4 linked regions of the Oryctolagus cuniculus genome follow. The protein of the gene in region 3 interacts with the protein of the main gene of each other region in a pairwise test. Links are inferred from orthologs where the notes say so. Each region holds a gene or a part of one and is shown on either strand. Other genes may lie near its edges.

Region 1 (4,331 bases), on a different chromosome or scaffold from region 3:
CTCAGCACCCTCCTCGGAGGGCCCTGGAAAGTCCCAGCCGGGAAACCTGCCCTCCCAGTCCTGGCTTCTCCTTCAGCTGCCTGGACAAGTCACACCCAGACATGAACGTGGAGGGCACAAAAGGCACCCACAGCCCCCCTGGAAGCAGGAACACCTCTCTGCAAAAGCTCCCCCTCCCCCTCCAATCGGGACACCAACGCGGGGGGAGCGGAAGGCGGCTTCTGGTAGCACTGATGGATTTCTGGTTTAGTGCGCGGGATCCATGGGGTTGGGGGTGCTCCTGCATCTCTCCGGCAGAGGGGGCAGCTAGGGGCTTGTCAGGAAGCAGCGCGTTTCTGGGTGCAGTTTTTACTCCGGTTGACTACAGGAAGGGCTGACAACAGCAAAGCTATCAATTGTTTTTTCTTTGGGTTGGTTTTGACAGGGGGCACTGATGGAATCACGAGGGTCCCCTCCCCTGCCTCTGAGGACCCTGCCCCTGCTGATCTCTTCCCATTCATTCCTGCATCTTTCCTCCCTGAGACGTCTGTGTTCCCACTTTTGAGCACGTACACAGGGGTTCAATATATTCCCTGTCTTGCCTTGCAAAACCGCCTGTCTTCAAGGCAGATTTTAATATTGCCTAGTGTTTGAAAACCGCCTCTGGCGTCACGGCCGCGGAGGCCCCCCAGTGGCCCAGCTGGGCTCTCATCGTCCTGCTCTGCAGGCTGCGCCGCTGGCCAGCCTGGGAGGCGCGGGACCTGTTCCTCCCGACCCCCTTTGTGGCGGCTGTCACGCAGCGAGGGACTCTTCCGCGCCGATTAGGGCGCCGAGGCTCGTGGGGTGCGCTGGTGCGAGTGCGCGTCCCACAGCGGAAAGACCCCAAGCCGACAACACATCCTTTCTCCCACGAATCGGACGCTTTTCGGCTCACGGCAACCGCACAGCCCCTCGCACAGCCAGCCCGGGGGAGAAGGGACGCGTCCCGGGCGCCGCGGAGAAGCCTGGTCCAGGTGTGGATGCAGAAGAGGGGGCCCCGAGGGCTGGGCCAGGTCGGCGAGCGCGGACCGAGGCTGAAGGAACTGCGCCCTCCGCCGGCGCGGAGCGGCCCCGGCGATCCCGCCCGCTCAGCCCGGTCGCCTCGGAGGACCCTGGGGGTGCAGGGACGCGCTGCGGGCGCCGCGCTGACATTGAACTCCAGCCCGGGGCGTGCGTGTGTGCGCGCGTGCGAGTCGCGGGGAGGGGCCGGGCCGGGAGCTGCAGCAAACCACGGCCCTGGGGAGCAGAGCCGAGCGCGTCCCCGAGCCGCCGCCCGCCCGAGCTGCGAGCGCCCAAGCCATTCATGATTTTGGTGACGTTATTCCAGGAGTGGGTGAGGGGGCGGGGCCTCTCGGGGCCAGGCTCCTCCCCCCTCCCCTATAAATGCGGCCTCCCGGGCTCTTTGTGGGGCCGGGATCGCGGTGGTGAGCGGGGAGCTCAGCGCGCTCCGCCGACGCCGCTGGCAGTGGGGCTGTTTCGGGACGGCGGAACCGCTTACGCCCGGCACCTCTCTCGGCCGCCTGCCGCGCCCGTCTGCACTCGTGTCCTTCTCTCCCGGGACGCGGTGACCATTTTTCAATCACGAGGGCGCGGGTCAGCCTCCCCTAGGACTTCATGTCTGTATATTTCCCCATTCACTGGTGAGTACCCGGTGCCCGCGGCGGGCGCCCGTCTCGCTGCCGTGGCTCCGGGGCGAGTGCAGCCGGGGGAGTGCGCGCCCCGCGCAAACCCGCAGCCGGAGCCCGTGCAGGAGTCAACGTCAAGGTTGCGAGGGTGGGGGTGGGGGGAGGTGGCGCTGAGAGCATCCAGACAAAGGAAGTGAACTCGGAGCGCTCAGCGGAGTGACTGCTGGAGGGCGTGTGTGGTGCTAGCTGTGGCGGCGTCGAGCCAGGGGTTGCCTCTGAGCCCCCCTCCCAGCCCACGAGACCCCCTCTCTGCAGAGAGCTGCGGGAGGCGCGCGCCCCCCTGGCGCAGGGGCTCCCGCTCTGCCGGGCCCCTCCCCTTTTTTCTTTTTGTTTGCATGCAAGTCTCGGCGTCGAGGCTGCAGCCAGGCTGAGCTGGTGCAGCCGCCGCTTTTGCAAAGCTCGGGCAGGGGGAGAGACGCCTTCCCCACCCGCAACCCCACTGAAGCCACAAACAGCAGCTCCCACGCAGCACACTTTCGACCCCTGCTCGCTCGGTAGCCCCCCAAACCCGTCCAGCCTTCAGTGCCGGTCCTTGCTGGCGATGAGCCGCCCTTCCCGAGCTGGGCCGAGGGGCGGCGGCGGAGGTTTGCCCCCAGCGGGGGACCCGGGTGGGGAAGGGTGCGGAGAGAGGCCTTGGCTGCCGGGACTCGCGCGCTGGCCGCTTCTTCCTTCCTGCGCTGGGGTTGGGGAGCAGACCCAGGGGCAAGCGCCCCGGAGCGCGCCCGAAGGTGCGGCTGTGGAGAGCCAGGCCCTGGGGTCGGGGTTCGGCACCCTGAGAGAGGAAACGGGCTCAAGTCTCGGGGCGCCGTCCTGCCGAGCCTGGGAACCAGGAAGTTCACTCTTCTTGCCCCAACTTTTCGGGGCCTGCGCCAAACCCTCGAGCGGGGATCAGCCCCCCTACATCAGAAGAGCCCTCCCCTGCTTGAGCATTCCTCTAGGAGGGAGGGGCGCGGCCCGGGAAGAGACTGTGCCGTGGGGGTCCTGGCTCCGGATCCAATCCTCTGCCACATCCTCCCTTGGTCTCTCGCTTCCGCCCCAGCCTGCCTGTGTTCAGAGAGAGGACTGAACTCTCCAAGCAAAGTAAAAATCCCCCCACCCCGAGACTCATCCAGGCCCCCCCCTTCCAGGAGCCCAGGTACACTGCACCCTGTGGTGAGGGAGCGGCCAGGTGTCCTGTGGCTGGGGTTCGCAGGCTGTTGGCCGCTTTTCCCCAGTGGTGGCAGAGCCCATCGGGGATAGTGCCCCTTGTGAAATTGAGGTTTAGGGTCAGCTAGCTGATGAGCAGTAACCTTTCAACCTTTCCCCTTACTTGCGAGACACCCAAGATCAACATACAAGTAACACGCGAACACGGGACACCTGTGACTCTGAGAGATTACAGGACCTGTTCTGTATCACTCAGCTCTTGAGGGCAGCACCCATTGCTTCTGCTCCCAAATCCAATGCAGTTTCTCCACTGTGTATGAACCTTGCAAGGAGTCTGGCGTCCCCGTTCCCTTAGGTAGACTCCCTCTAAAGCCTGCCCAGTGGAAATACTGGGTGTTGTGTAGCCAGGACCCGGGTCTGGGCTGTATATGTGGCATAATGCACATAGGGTCCTGTGTGTGCCCAGGGCTGGTGCTAGGATAATGGGACGTTTGTATCCGGCTTACAGAGTACAAAGCACTTTCACATGTCAGCCATTGGTGGGCCAGCGTGGCCCCTCTGGAAATTTCCTTTGCAATCAGAGTCCGGGTATCCTTAAGGCTTTTAATCCAGGGGATGTTTTTCAAGCTGTGAGCTTGCAGCTGCCGTGGCTCGGGCTGGAGAAGGGGGTTGGATGACAGATGTGGAGCTTGCAGAAAGCTGACCCCTTGGGGCTTCCAGTGGGACATTTTGCCAAAAGGAGCACCAGAGAGATGGAGAGAAATGTAGGCAGGGGGATTCGTGCTGGGCTTTGTTTTCCCCGAGGCTGACCTGTTACCATTATTGTGTAATTATGATTTGCAATTTCCCTTTGGAAAATTCATGAGGGTTATTTTTATGCTTAGTTGGAGGGGAGAGGGAGACCCGGCTGGATTGATTTTCATATAGACAGAGAGATCAGCTGCCTACTGTTTTGGTTTTTTCCTGGTGCTGTCACTTAAAGGAAACCCAGGGTCATTCTGTGCCAGGGGTCTCCCGTGCAGGAGAGGAGGGTGATGGCGGTTTGCCAGGGGCAGCGGGCTTTGTCCACTGGGGCTTGGAGCCCTGTTGCTGTGGGTTTGCAAGGCACTTCCTCAGAGCGCGCGAGCTTGTTTTTCTGCGAATCCCTCTCATCCTGTCTCCAGACGCTCCCCTGATCTCCTGGCAGCGTACGTACCCGAGAGGAGGAACGTGAAAGTGCCTGTGTTTGCTGACTTTGGGTCTGGGTTTCTTGGCAGCCCTGACTATCTGAGATCGGCCGAGATGACCGAGGTGATGATGAACACCCCATCCATGGAGGAGATTGGCCTCAGCCCCCGGAAGGACGGCCTTTCCTACCAGGTAGGTATGGAAGTCCTGCTGACTCTTCGCAGGGTCTCACGGCTCTTGCTGCGGATGGAGGCAGACTTGCTTTTGCTTCCGAGCGCCACTTGTAAAGAGCTGTGTGATCTCAGCAAAGTCCCC
Region 2 (3,902 bases), on a different chromosome or scaffold from region 3:
CGAGTACCCTCGCTGGGACTCGTGGACCAGCAGCCGGAGGACGGACTCCCTCAGCTCCTTGAGGCCCATCAAAGTGGTGAGACCCCGCCCTTTGTCCCACTTTGTCTCTGCTATCTTTGGTCCAGCGGTCCGAGGACAGGAAAGGAGCCGTCGCCTCTAGCATTGAAGCGGCCTTGCAACAGTCATTTTGCTTGCAGCCAGCCTCCGTCTCCACTTCTGAGACATGGGCACATTCGTAGCTATTGAGATGGCAGCAGGCTTGGTTTGAGGGCTGTCACATTGCACAGCTCCAGGGGGCTCCACTCACAGGACTACAATAGCTCCTGGTTGGGAGAGGGGCACTGTTCACAAACTATTCCATGCAGATGGGATCCCTAGGATGGTACAATGCCTGTCACAGAGAAATCACTCAAAAAGCTACTATAGCTGTCATACATAGTACAAGACATGCTGGGGGTGGGGGAGGAGCAGGGAGACTCAGGCCAGGGGGAGCTCTCGGGCATGCCTGATCCTGATTCTCACTGGGGTGTTAATTCTCAGCTGTAATCCCCAAATCACCCAAGCCCAGGCCAGCCCCTCTCAGAGCTTGGGATGGAGGAAGGGAGACCACTGGACACAGCTTTCCACAGATCTGGGTTTTATATTGGCTTTGCCATGCCCAGCTGTGTGATCTTGAGCAAGTCATTTTACCTCTCTGAGCCTTGTCTTGTTATCTGCCAAACGGTGCAAGAGTCATTGAAAGGCTTAAAAAATGAAGAACAATGCGCTATAGGAAGTAGAGGAAGGGCAGAATTGTAGAGATGACGGGAAAAAATGACCTCACGTGTCTGCTGGAGGCGCCATAAGCCTGAGCAGGAATGTATGGGGCGTGTGTGTGAGTGCATCATGGCCGGTGCTTACCACAGAGGAGGTTGTGCCTATGAGGGGGAGGAGGACAATGCAGCATCTGCCATTCCCCCGTAGGAGCTCAGCAACCAGCCCCTGTCCAGAGGCAGTTGTCGTAGGGGCCCCCACGCAGGCGTATTGGGCAGAGGGTCCCAGGTGGGGCATGCTGAGGCCAGCTCTGGGCCATGAGGATCAGGTGGGAAGGCAGAGCCCGGAGCCCCTGCACCTGCACTCATTGCCCCCCACCCCCACCACAGGACAGCCAGGAGCACAAGATCATCCTCTATGAGAACCCCAACTTCACGGGCAAGAAGATGGAGATCATAGATGACGACGTGCCCAGCTTCCACGCCCACGGCTACCAGGAGAAGGTGTCGTCCGTGCGGGTGCAGAGCGGCACGTGAGTGCGTCCCCAGCCCTGGCTCACCCTGCTCCGGGAACCCAAACCCTGGGGTCCTCCATCCTACTTTCCCCCAAATTTGTGGGCCATCTCGCACCCATCACCGGCCACTCCTGACCTCAGTCTTCCCACTGGAAAATGGGCAGAAATCAGGAATCACCAGATGTGGCTTCCAGCCCCTGAAAAGCAGGACGGTGTTTGTGCCTGGGGGTTGAGGGCGGTTCAGGGAGAGGCAGAGGTAAGTTGAGGCAGGAGGCGGAGCAGTGAATTGAGCGATGTTGAGCTCCAAGGGGCAGGAAGCCCAGGCCATGCTGGCCTTGTACACAGCTCGGCTCCTGAGCTGGGGAGTAGGAGGTCCCAATTCCCACGGGACTGCATTTCTTAGACACACATGGCTGCCAGTGCCCGGGGATTTGTCCGTGGGAGCCTGTCCGTGGGTTCTGTTGGGGCTGCAGCTGAGCTCTGGGCAGTGGGGGCTGGAGCCGGCTCATGCCGTCAGCTTTCCTCTCCACTGGTCCCACACCTGTGGACGCAACCAACCATGCACTGGAAATAGTTTTTTTTGTGTGTGTCCATATTTGAGATACGAGAACTTGCTGTTTCCCATAGAATGCAATGCAGTCCTCCTGCACAGGGCGCCTACCTCGTACTGGGTGTTCTGAGTCACCTGGAGGTGGTTTCGAGTAGGAAGGAGGTGGTGCAGGTTCTGTGCAAATAAATGCTGGCCATATTCGTACGGCACTTGGGCATCTGTGGACTGGGGTGTCCTTAGGGAATTCCAGAAGTGATCCCTAGCTTATAAGAGCAGATTCTGACGTTTTCAGAATTTTAGTTCTGATGAATCAATGGTTGCATGAGGCCAGCCCCAGGAGAAGTCTTTCCACCACAGCCATTGGCAGATGGTACTAATCAGGACTCGCCTCCCACCCAACCCTGCCCCCACACCCCCTCCAATCTCCTCCCTGGCAACCCCCAAGAGCCACATTTGTCACAGCTGCTGGCTTCTTGGCATTTGTCAAGCACCAACAATAGTGCCCCAAATTCTGTGTTGATTGCCCCCGTTATTCACTCACTCACTGGCTTGATTTGCCAGCTACTGCCAAGTGCCAGCCATTAGCTTAGGCGAAGGGAGATGACAGCGATCAGGTGGCTGCCTGGGCAGCTGACCCGCTAGAGGGAGCAACAGTTAGCAGTGGGAGAGTCCCCAGCGATCCCCAGCGAGCTAAGCTGCTTCTCAAGGAAGATACACTTGAGCTGAGCTCTCGGAGGAGGAGGAATCGCAGCGGGTAGAGGCTGAGACAGGGCCTCTCAGGAAGCAAGGACAAGGGGAGTGTGAGAGAGTCCACAAAGGCCACGTGGCGGGAGTGCAGGCCGGAGGGGCACAAGCCAGAGACGCCGAGCTGGAGGTGTCCCCAGAGATGGCCTGGGGCGTGGTGGACTGCGCGGTTCAGCACCTGTCTGCCTCTAAGCTTCTGTGAGCACCTCGGCTCCTGGTCTGACCCTACTCTCAGGTCTGCAGACACCGTTCACTGCAGGAGGGAGTGAGCCCATCAAGAGAAGGAGAGCAGAGGCTCGCTGCTGGAGGGGCTAAGAGGGCTGTGCTGCTCAGCATCAGGGGGAAATCACCCTTCCTACTGCCTGAAGGGGTCTCTCTCTCTCTCTCCCTCCCCACCTCCCCCTGGCCCTGCAGGTGGGTCGGCTACCAGTACCCTGGCTACCGTGGGCTGCAGTACCTCCTGGAGAAGGGAGACTACAAGGACAGCAGTGACTTTGGGGCTCCCCACCCCCAGGTGCAGTCCGTGCGCCGCATCCGCGACATGCAGTGGCACCAGCGGGGCGCCTTCCATCCCACCAACTAGGGCTCCCCGCCACGCCTCCGCCATCCCTCCCTCCCAGGAGCCAGGATCCTGCAGAGCTCCCAGCGAGTGAATAAAGTGTGACCTGCAACTTGTGTGTTGCCTGTCTCTTATCCCCTGTGGGAGGTGCGGCGTGGGCATGAGTGTGTGAGTGCAAAGAGGCACAGACACACACACACACACACACACACACACACACACAGATGTAGCTGTGTTTGGGCTACGCAGGGAAACAGGGCTCTCCCTGAGACAGCTCTGCAGCGACGTGGCTGTGTGACCTCAGATGCATCATCCAACCTCTCTGAGCCTCCACTTCTTCACCTGACTCCTGAACCTCTTGTCCCCTGCATGGCTGTCTTGGTTCACCCCTGGGTTCTCTCTCTGTGGTGCTGGGCAGAGTGACCCCAAGGGGCATGCATCCACTGCCTGCTGATCTCCCTGTACTGAGAATCACTGCCTCAAGGCTCTGCCAGAGATGCCAAGAATCCTGCGGGATTCCTCCCCACCCCAAGGAGAGGTCACAGTAACTTGTCTCTGTGTGTGTGTGTGTGTGTGTGTGTGTGTGTGTTCCAGTGTTCCAGGTGGGGTGAGGACTTTAGGGTCCAAAAATCAAAGGGTTGATCAAGGGCAAGATCCAGAGAGACTGGGGATGATCAAAGGATGGTGGACGGCGATGACTGTGTATGGACAGCAGGTGGCGCCAACAGGTTCCAGTTGTCTATTACTCTGTATAGCACCCACACCAAACTGAGTGGTAAAGC
Region 3 (4,394 bases):
TAGAAGAGGGTAGCTAGGAAGAGGGGCTTGAGAAAGGAAATGAGGTGGTGGTGGAGGAAGGCAAGGCTGACTGGGACCTGGTGATAGCAGGGGAATGAGAAGGCACATGGGCAGGCAAGGGGCAGCAATCAGAGCATGGCAGGCCCCAAGTCTGTACTGAGGTCAGTGGGAAGGGGAACAAGCCCTGTTTGCGGGGGGTGAGGAGGGAGTCTGAGGTTGGAGGTGGCCCACCCCCGGAGTTCACTTAAGCCCGAAATGGGGTGGAAGCCAGTAACGTTGGGAGATCAGCCCAGAATTTCAGGAGGTGGGGGTGGGAGGCAAGGAGGGGGGTGGCATCTGGCCCATACCTTCTCCAAAGCGCTGTTCACCCAGGCGGCTGGGATTGGCAAATTCGTACTCAGTGGTGGCCGGGTGGGCATGGGGCACTGTACGGCCCGACATAGCTGCAGACGTGGCGACAGCCCTGATCTGAGGTGCAGCCCCAAGAGGCCAGTGCGACCCCTCCAGCTGCCTGGAGAGCCAGGGCTTGGTCGGAGGTGGGGGCGGGGTCTACACCACCCAAAATAGTGCAGAGCCTCTGGGGGCAGGGCTGCAGAGCCAGGCCCTGAGTGCAAAGACGAGGGTGTGATCCACGCCACCGGACCCCCAGTCCCCTCCCCCATACACCCTTCAGCTGTCGCAGAGGACCAGAGAAGACAGCTGGGGGTCCTGGTTCAGAGGGAGCTGGGGAGGGGTGCTGGTGCTGGAGGCTCAGGAGAGGCCAGGCCGAGCCCCTCCCTAAACAGTCAGAACATTTCCACACTCCCTTTTACTCCTCAGTTGCAGGACTGTGCCCCCTGCTTCATAAAGAACTTTGGATTTCATGTCCTGCAAGCCACATACAATCAAAGAGGCAAGAAACTTTTCTGCCTTTTTTAGGGAGATTGGGGTGCATCTGCCCAGATTAATGTCAGGGTCCTCTCCTAAGCCCTCGTCAACCCAGGGTGCCACGCAGATGCCTGGTAGTGACATGCTGGTGGTCACTCTCCTCCAAGGACCTACAAAGAGTTAATGTCCCTGGGGCCCAGCCTAGGAAGATTCCAGTTCCTGCCCAGGCCCAAGATAGTTGCTGGCCAGATGCCCCTGGCATGCAAGACTGGAGAGGAGGAGGAGGGGCACACCACGCGCCTGCTTGGGATTCCTGACTGTGTCCCAGCTTCAGAGAACAGGGGAAGGGGGTGGGTGCCTTTGGGTGTGGACGGAAAGCCAGTGAAACAAGACCATGGCAAGTCACTGGCCAGCTCAGACGTGTTTGTGTTTCTCTTTTCTTAGCTCAGTGAGTACTGGGTATGTGTCACACTGCCAAATCCCCGATCACAAGTCTCCATGAACCAGCGGTGAGCTAGGATAATAAAACCCCTGACATCACCATTCCAGAAGCTTCAGAAGACTGCATATATAAGGGGCTGGCTGTAGCTGCGGCTGAAGGAGCTGACCCGCCAGCTGACCCCCGACACTCACCTAGCCACCATGGACATCGCTATCCACCACCCCTGGATCCGCCGCCCCTTCTTTCCTTTTCACTCGCCCAGCCGCCTCTTTGACCAGTTCTTCGGAGAGCACCTGTTGGAGTCTGATCTCTTCCCAACTTCTACTTCCCTGAGCCCCTTCTATCTTCGGCCACCCTCATTCCTGCGGGCACCCAGCTGGATTGACACTGGACTCTCAGAGGTGAGTCTCCTCTGCTTGAAACCTCCTTGAAACTCCCCTATTCATTTTCCTTTCCTTCCTTGCCTAAAAACCACTTTAGGCTCATGTGTGTCCATAAGTGAAGAAAAATGAGGTTACTGCCTCCCTCCTCTGGGCACCTGTTTCTGTTTGATACTTCTCTGTATCTTACTACATTTTCCCCTGAGCTGTGCATCCCTGATGCTCTCTCCTCTAACTTCTAAGCAAGATACCCGTTCCTGGTTTGGTTCAGAAAGATTTGAAGAGAAGGGAACTGCCTTCTAACGCTTTGCTCACCTCTTCTAATAATAGTTTGTACTCCTGAGAGACTTTATCATCTCAAGTTTCAGAGTCCTACCTCATCCTGAGCTTTTCATCCTCACTAGGGGGAACTGGCAACAACAACCACTATTTTTTCCTTTCCATTCCCTCTTTTTATTTATTTATTTTTGTTTTATTAAACGAATACAACTTCATGCAGTTAATATACGCAGATTTGAGATCTGTTCCCTCTTGTATGATTTTCCAAGTTCCTTGGGGTTCTGACAGAGCACTGGCCTGGGTCCAAGCCTTATGAGGGAAGAATAGGACCAGTCTTAGGACCCTCTCGCTTGTCCTAAGAGGGTGGGAGAATGCGGTGACTAGATAAGGTTGACAGGCACTGTCAAAGATAACACTGCGGTTTAAAAATATTCGAGTGTGGGTAAACAGGAGCTGAGTGGGCAAGGGCTTTGGAAGGGCAAGCAGAACATTCCAGATTGTATGGGTGGGACACTTGGCAGAGAACTGAGCAAGAAGAAGGGGCCTTTGTCTCATAGACAAATGACAAAGCAAGGCATTGGGGTCAAAGAGGCAGCAGAAGCCATGCCCAGACCCATCTTGTGATTGGTTCCCTGGGTGATCTTTCCTTATAAATAAAGTTTGGAATTGATGACTGATAGGCATGCCTTGGGTACCACTGTGGTATATTTAGCAGAAAAGAGGAGGATAAAATAGCTGTATAGAAAGCAAGTCTACAAAATGACGATACTGTACCAGTGTAATCAACATGCCTGTCACCTTTTCTCCCACCTCCCCCTTCCCTCATCTTGCTATTTCTAGATGCGCCTGGAGAAGGACAGGTTCTCTGTCAACCTGGATGTGAAGCACTTCTCCCCAGAGGAGCTCAAGGTCAAAGTGTTGGGTGATGTGATTGAGGTGCACGGCAAACATGAAGAGCGCCAGGTATGTAGCCTGCTTTTCCTTCTGCTCATTCATTCAGTGCATGTTGTCTACTGAATGATGCCAGACACTGCCATCAGCTTTTGAGGCTGGCGACATTCCTGTCCCAAAAAAATGAGCCTCTGAATCAGGGATAGCAAATCAATGGCTAGAAACTAAATTAGGGACTGAGCTGTTATTATTATTGCTGTTGTTGGCCAAAGCAGGGACCATGATTGTTTGTTTTGATTTGATTGGCTTAGATGGGATAAATTGGATGTTTGCTCCCCATTTAAGCCAGTGATTCTCAACCTTGGCCACATTAGAATCACTAGGAGAATGTTCACAAATCCAAATTCTCAGCTATGCCCTGAACGATTAAATAAAAATTTTTAGAGATAGGATGTAGGCAATACCATTTTTTTTTTTTCACTTCTAAAGACGATTGTAATCTACAGTCAAGCTGAAGGGCACTCATCTAAGTAGTTTTGTCAGACAACAAGTTGCTTTATGTAATTACATTAGCTACATATACCCTGAAGGCACTTGAATCCATAACTTTTCTTTTAGATGGTCCACTTCTCTTCAGGCTATCTTAATGCTACACTACTTGGTTTTCTGATGTTTCAAAGTTGTACTTGGTTCCCAATCTCTCGTAGTCCATGTGGAAATCAGTTAAATTGAGAGCCTTTTTGGAAAAATGCTGGAGATTGGGCAGGCATACAGGTCAGGGTCAGTTACTTTTACGAAATTCTGATGAATGGAACATATTCTCATGTCTTTGAACAGGTTTAATATCATTTCTCAACAATTAGTGATAATCCAAGGCTTCTGCATCAACTAATACAATTTAGCTTAATACAATCAGGTTGTTTCAGTTTTGCTCATATGACTTAAGTTTGGGTCACAGTCTCCCTGAATGGATGAAGTCACTTTTTTTTTCCCCTTAGGAGCAATCTTATTAGTCTGGAACATTCTGGGAATTGTTGAAGGGTCAGGACAATTTCTGGGCTCCTTCAGGGACTCAGTTGCCAGGACAAGATTCCAAATCCTATAGGCTCAGCCAAACTTTTGAAAAATATCCTTACACATCTATGCTTCAGGGTTAAAGTTCTGGTCTGTTTCAGACTCCTCACACTCTTATGGGTAGAAGTTACCACCTGGGCAACTTCATCTTTGCCCAAAACCTGAAATGAACTGCCCTTTATTTTTTCTCATGTTGTCAGTGGCCTTTAGACACACGTAAGGGTAATGGGGATGTCGGAGTTATAAGCAAGTGGGATTATTTCTTGTTCTTATATCTCTGCCTCTTTCCTCTTTTCTTGGATTAGGATGAACATGGTTTCATCTCCAGGGAGTTCCACAGGAAATACCGGATCCCAGCTGATGTGGACCCTCTCACCATTACTTCATCCCTGTCATCTGATGGGGTCCTCACTGTGAATGGACCAAGGAAGCAAGCCCCTGGCCCAGAGCGCACCATTCCC
Region 4 (3,646 bases), on a different chromosome or scaffold from region 3:
TTCTAGTTTCTGGCTAATGCACCCTCCGAGAGGCAGCAGATGATGGCCACAGTAGCTAGGTTCTTGCCATCCACATGGGAGACCTAGATTCCAGCTTTGTTGTGGTCCAGCACCAGTTATCTTGTGCATTTGGAGGGTGGAACATCAAATAGGGAGTTTCTCAATCACTTTCTCAAATAAAGAAAATAAATACATTTTAAAAAGAATTTTTAAAAAGGATTTTAGTCTGGTTGGATAATTTGGGGAAGAATCTAAAAACTGAGGTTCATTCTAGATAGATGCTGTCCCAAAGCAAGATTAAGTTTATGATTGGTTATCTCATTAAATCTTACCCAAAGAGAGAGAAACTAGAATGAAGATTAAGCTATAATTGATAAAGAAATAGCCGAAAATCATTTTGGATGAGGGGGTAATATTTGGTACTGTGTGTGTGTTTTGCTGGCATTGTTTTTGCCTGTGCTTAGATAGACTAATAAAGTGGCCTTGCTTTATTTCATTCCATCAAGGGAGATTGTTTACATCCACTAGAAGAATAATACATCCCAGCTATGAGTGCCAGGCCTGCTTCCGAATGTCAGAGGTTATTCCTTTCTGTCTTTCTCACTCATCAAACCTTCTCCCACGAGATGGGTCCTGCTCTGAGAGGTAGTGGGACCTGCCATCTTCATACAGCCACCCCATGGGCCTCCCCAGCCCAGGCAGTCTGTGTCAGAATGCAGCTTCATGGTCTCCCCATCCTTGGAAAAGGGGCAACAACCAACAGAGCAACACACTTCGCAGTCTTGGGCCCATGGTCGCAGGAAGCCTTCCCTCGTTCCTAGCACAAGTTGACTCCCAGGGGCTGACATCCTGATACATGATGTGCACCTGTCAATGCGGGGTAGAGAGATTAACTACTGTGTTTTAGTGAATTGAATCAACGAAGTCAAAACCAGCTTAGATCAGAATCTAGACTTATGTCCTGCATTGAACTGACAAACTGTGTAAAGAAAAACATTTAAGACAGCTAGTTCTGTCTTCCAGAGAAAGTGGGGTGTGTAGCAGTCTGTCTCCCCAACAGCCTCTTGGAACCAGGGGACCCTTCAGGAAGGCAGAGCTTTCCCCCGGAAAATTCGTGGGTTTTAATTAAATCGTACTCCTATGCATGCAGACACGAATTTCGGGTCAAAAGTTCAGACTGGTGTGCTGATAAATTTAAAAAACACGAAGAATCCAAATAAAAGAGCAGCAGATAGAGGCCAGCGTGAGAATATACCAGAGAATGAGGGCAAAATCTGCAATCATTTCCAGTGAATGCAGCATGTAAAAGGGATCCATAAAATGCCCTTACTCACCCCCGCGGGCCCCTTTTGTGTTGTTCCTGCCAACGCAGCAGCGCTCCTGCTATATAGACCCGCCGCGCTGCCGGCCCCACACACTGAACTCCAGCATCGGTGTCAACCAGCCATGGGGAAGGTGAGCGGAGCACACGTTTAATAAAAAGAAAACAGAGCTTTATACAAGGCTTACTGGGAGCAAATGATTTAATTCGGAATCATTCTTCCTTTGCAGATCATTTTCTACGAGGACCGGGGCTTCCAGGGCCGCTGCTACGAGTGCAGCAGCGACTGCCCCAACCTGCAGCCCTACTTCAGCCGCTGCAACTCGGTGCGCGTGGACAGCGGCTGCTGGATGCTCTATGAGCGCCCCAACTACCAGGGCCACCAGTACTTCCTGCGCCGGGGCGAGTACCCCGACTACCAGCAGTGGATGGGCCTCAGCGACTCGATCCGCTCCTGCCGCCTCATCCCCCAAGTGAGTTTTGCTTGATTTGGCTCATGCTGCCTGCGTGTTCTCACTGAGTTACTGATGTGGGTTGGGGAGGTTTTACTTTATAAACAACGAGGGGCTATGTGGGTTTTCTGCACTTGCTTACACATAGAATACAGGCAAGAATCCACTTGGAGGAAGAGTCAGTTTTATGTTTAATTCTTGCTATCATTAAGACAATCAAAGTTGTCGATCAAATAGATTAGCATAATGAAATTTAAAACAGAACTTGCCAACGGGAAGCTGATTAGGCTGGAGATGGCAGTAATTTATAACAAATTCCATTCGTTTTCATTTATTTTAAAGAAATTTCTAATGACTGCATTAGGTTCTACTGTGGACTAATACACACTGAAGACTTGTTCGTATAGGATACTCAATAGCTCTTTAATTTGGGAAATCCCTTGAATCCTGGTTCCCAGGGACTATTTAAACCAACTTTTCCCTGAAGTACAGAAGTTCAAAATCCTACTTTAATGATAAATTTATATGTATATAAATAATTCTGGGAGAGACATTCTTATTAAAATATAAATTAAAATAAATTATTTAAGCTTTCCAAAAAATATATTTGAGTCACCCAGAGGGAAATAGGAATCAAAGAACTTGAGTTTCTGATGAATTCCAAGTTTGAACCTCACAAAAATATCACCTGCTAGATAAGAAACAGCGATTGATGTGCAAGAATTTGTCAGATGTTAGCAGAAGGCAGATCCACGCACAGCTATTTCAGAGTCATGATTCTTACATTGAAAATCCATGCCCAGTCTATCAAGGTCATCTTTGTTTGATTGGATGAATTCCATAAGAGGCTCATTTGCTTTTCTGGTTCCTTCTTTTTGTGCCCCGAGCAGACAAGCTCTCACAGGATGCGACTGTATGAGAAAGATGACCACAAAGGCCTCATGATGGAGCTGAGCGAGGACTGCTCCTGCATCCAGGACCGCTTCCACCTCAGTGAGGTCCGCTCCCTCCACGTGCTGGAGGGCTGCTGGGTCCTCTACGAGCTGCCCAACTACCGGGGGCGGCAGTACCTGCTGAGGCCTCAGGAGTACCGGCGGTACCAAGACTGGGGAGCCATGGATGCGAAAGCAGGCTCTTTGCGCAGAGTGGTAGATTTATACTAAAATAGGTTAACACTACCATTTTCTCATTTTGGAACCTAATAAAGTATTTAGTCTGTATTGTTGGCAATTACTGACTTCGAGTTTTTCTTGCATTGTGTGCAAATTAATTCACATATAAATACTCGCTGCTAAAGTTTGTGAAGGGCATAAGGGAGTGGGTGGAGTGGATTCAAGAGCCTGAAGGCCTGGTGAGTATGAGCAAGGCTCAGACATCAGGGAGGAGAGAGGATGCAGCCCGAATGAGAAAGAAAAGACAAGGCAAACTAGAGACAGGCAGATGGCGATGGGGGAACCCAGGCACTCCGCAGAAGGCTCTGAGGAACAGTGTTCCAAAAGTTTCCTTCCGGCCTGGAAAGTGGTTGGAAACTACAAAAGACAAAGTCAAGTGAGTTGTGAGGCCAAGTCCAGCTTGGCAAGAAGCCTGAGTAGACTGTGAGGAATTGGAGTTTTGTTGACTTTCAAGTGCAGTGTTAACATAACGAATACCAAGCTGCCATGCCTTTGCACCAGGGTAAACCTTTAGTTATTTCGGAGCCTGGCCCAAATGCTGCGTGAAGTATAGAAACTGCAGAACTGTACATGGGGTCCAGATAATGCAAATAAATTCATAAGGGAGACACATCAGTAGTTTAAGTGGTTTACATGATCTAATATATCACAAACATAAAAAGCCCTTTAACTACAAAAAAATAAGGCTCAAATTTATCTTG

The links.
Region 1: the proteins of CRYAB (region 3) and LBH interact in a two-hybrid assay, tested with the Homo sapiens proteins (2 studies listed by BioGRID, with this or other methods). The link is inferred for Oryctolagus cuniculus from reciprocal best matches to the Homo sapiens genes CRYAB and LBH.
Region 2: the proteins of CRYAB (region 3) and CRYBB2 interact in a two-hybrid assay, tested with the Homo sapiens proteins (2 studies listed by BioGRID and IntAct). The link is inferred for Oryctolagus cuniculus from reciprocal best matches to the Homo sapiens genes CRYAB and CRYBB2.
Region 4: the proteins of CRYAB (region 3) and gamma-crystallin C interact in binary tests that used the Homo sapiens proteins (3 or more experiments, as listed by UniProt). The link is inferred for Oryctolagus cuniculus from reciprocal best matches to the Homo sapiens genes CRYAB and CRYGC.

The regions. Positions count from the first base shown.
Region 1 is NC_091433.1:172,760,443-172,764,773, reverse strand, and holds the start of LBH (protein LBH), read left to right. Parts: upstream 1-1,422; 5' UTR 1,423-1,632; coding exon 1,633-1,658; intron 1,659-4,105; coding exon 4,106-4,208; intron 4,209-4,331. UniProt on the Homo sapiens protein: Transcriptional activator which may act in mitogen-activated protein kinase signaling pathway.
Region 2 is NC_091452.1:19,372,634-19,376,535, forward strand, and holds the end of CRYBB2 (beta-crystallin B2), read left to right. Parts: coding exon 1-76; intron 77-1,142; coding exon 1,143-1,285; intron 1,286-2,975; coding exon 2,976-3,144; 3' UTR 3,145-3,232; downstream 3,233-3,902. UniProt on the Homo sapiens protein: Crystallins are the dominant structural components of the vertebrate eye lens.
Region 3 is NC_091432.1:103,864,748-103,869,141, reverse strand, and holds the start of CRYAB (alpha-crystallin B chain), read left to right. Parts: upstream 1-1,489; 5' UTR 1,490-1,509; coding exon 1,510-1,710; intron 1,711-2,808; coding exon 2,809-2,931; intron 2,932-4,238; coding exon 4,239-4,394. Other genes in the region: HSPB2 (heat shock protein beta-2), read right to left, coding at 348-441. UniProt on the Homo sapiens protein: May contribute to the transparency and refractive index of the lens. Has chaperone-like activity, preventing aggregation of various proteins under a wide range of stress conditions.
Region 4 is NC_091434.1:31,660,032-31,663,677, forward strand, and holds gamma-crystallin C, read left to right. Parts: upstream 1-1,446; coding exon 1,447-1,455; intron 1,456-1,551; coding exon 1,552-1,794; intron 1,795-2,660; coding exon 2,661-2,936; 3' UTR 2,937-3,003; downstream 3,004-3,646. UniProt on the Homo sapiens protein: Crystallins are the dominant structural components of the vertebrate eye lens.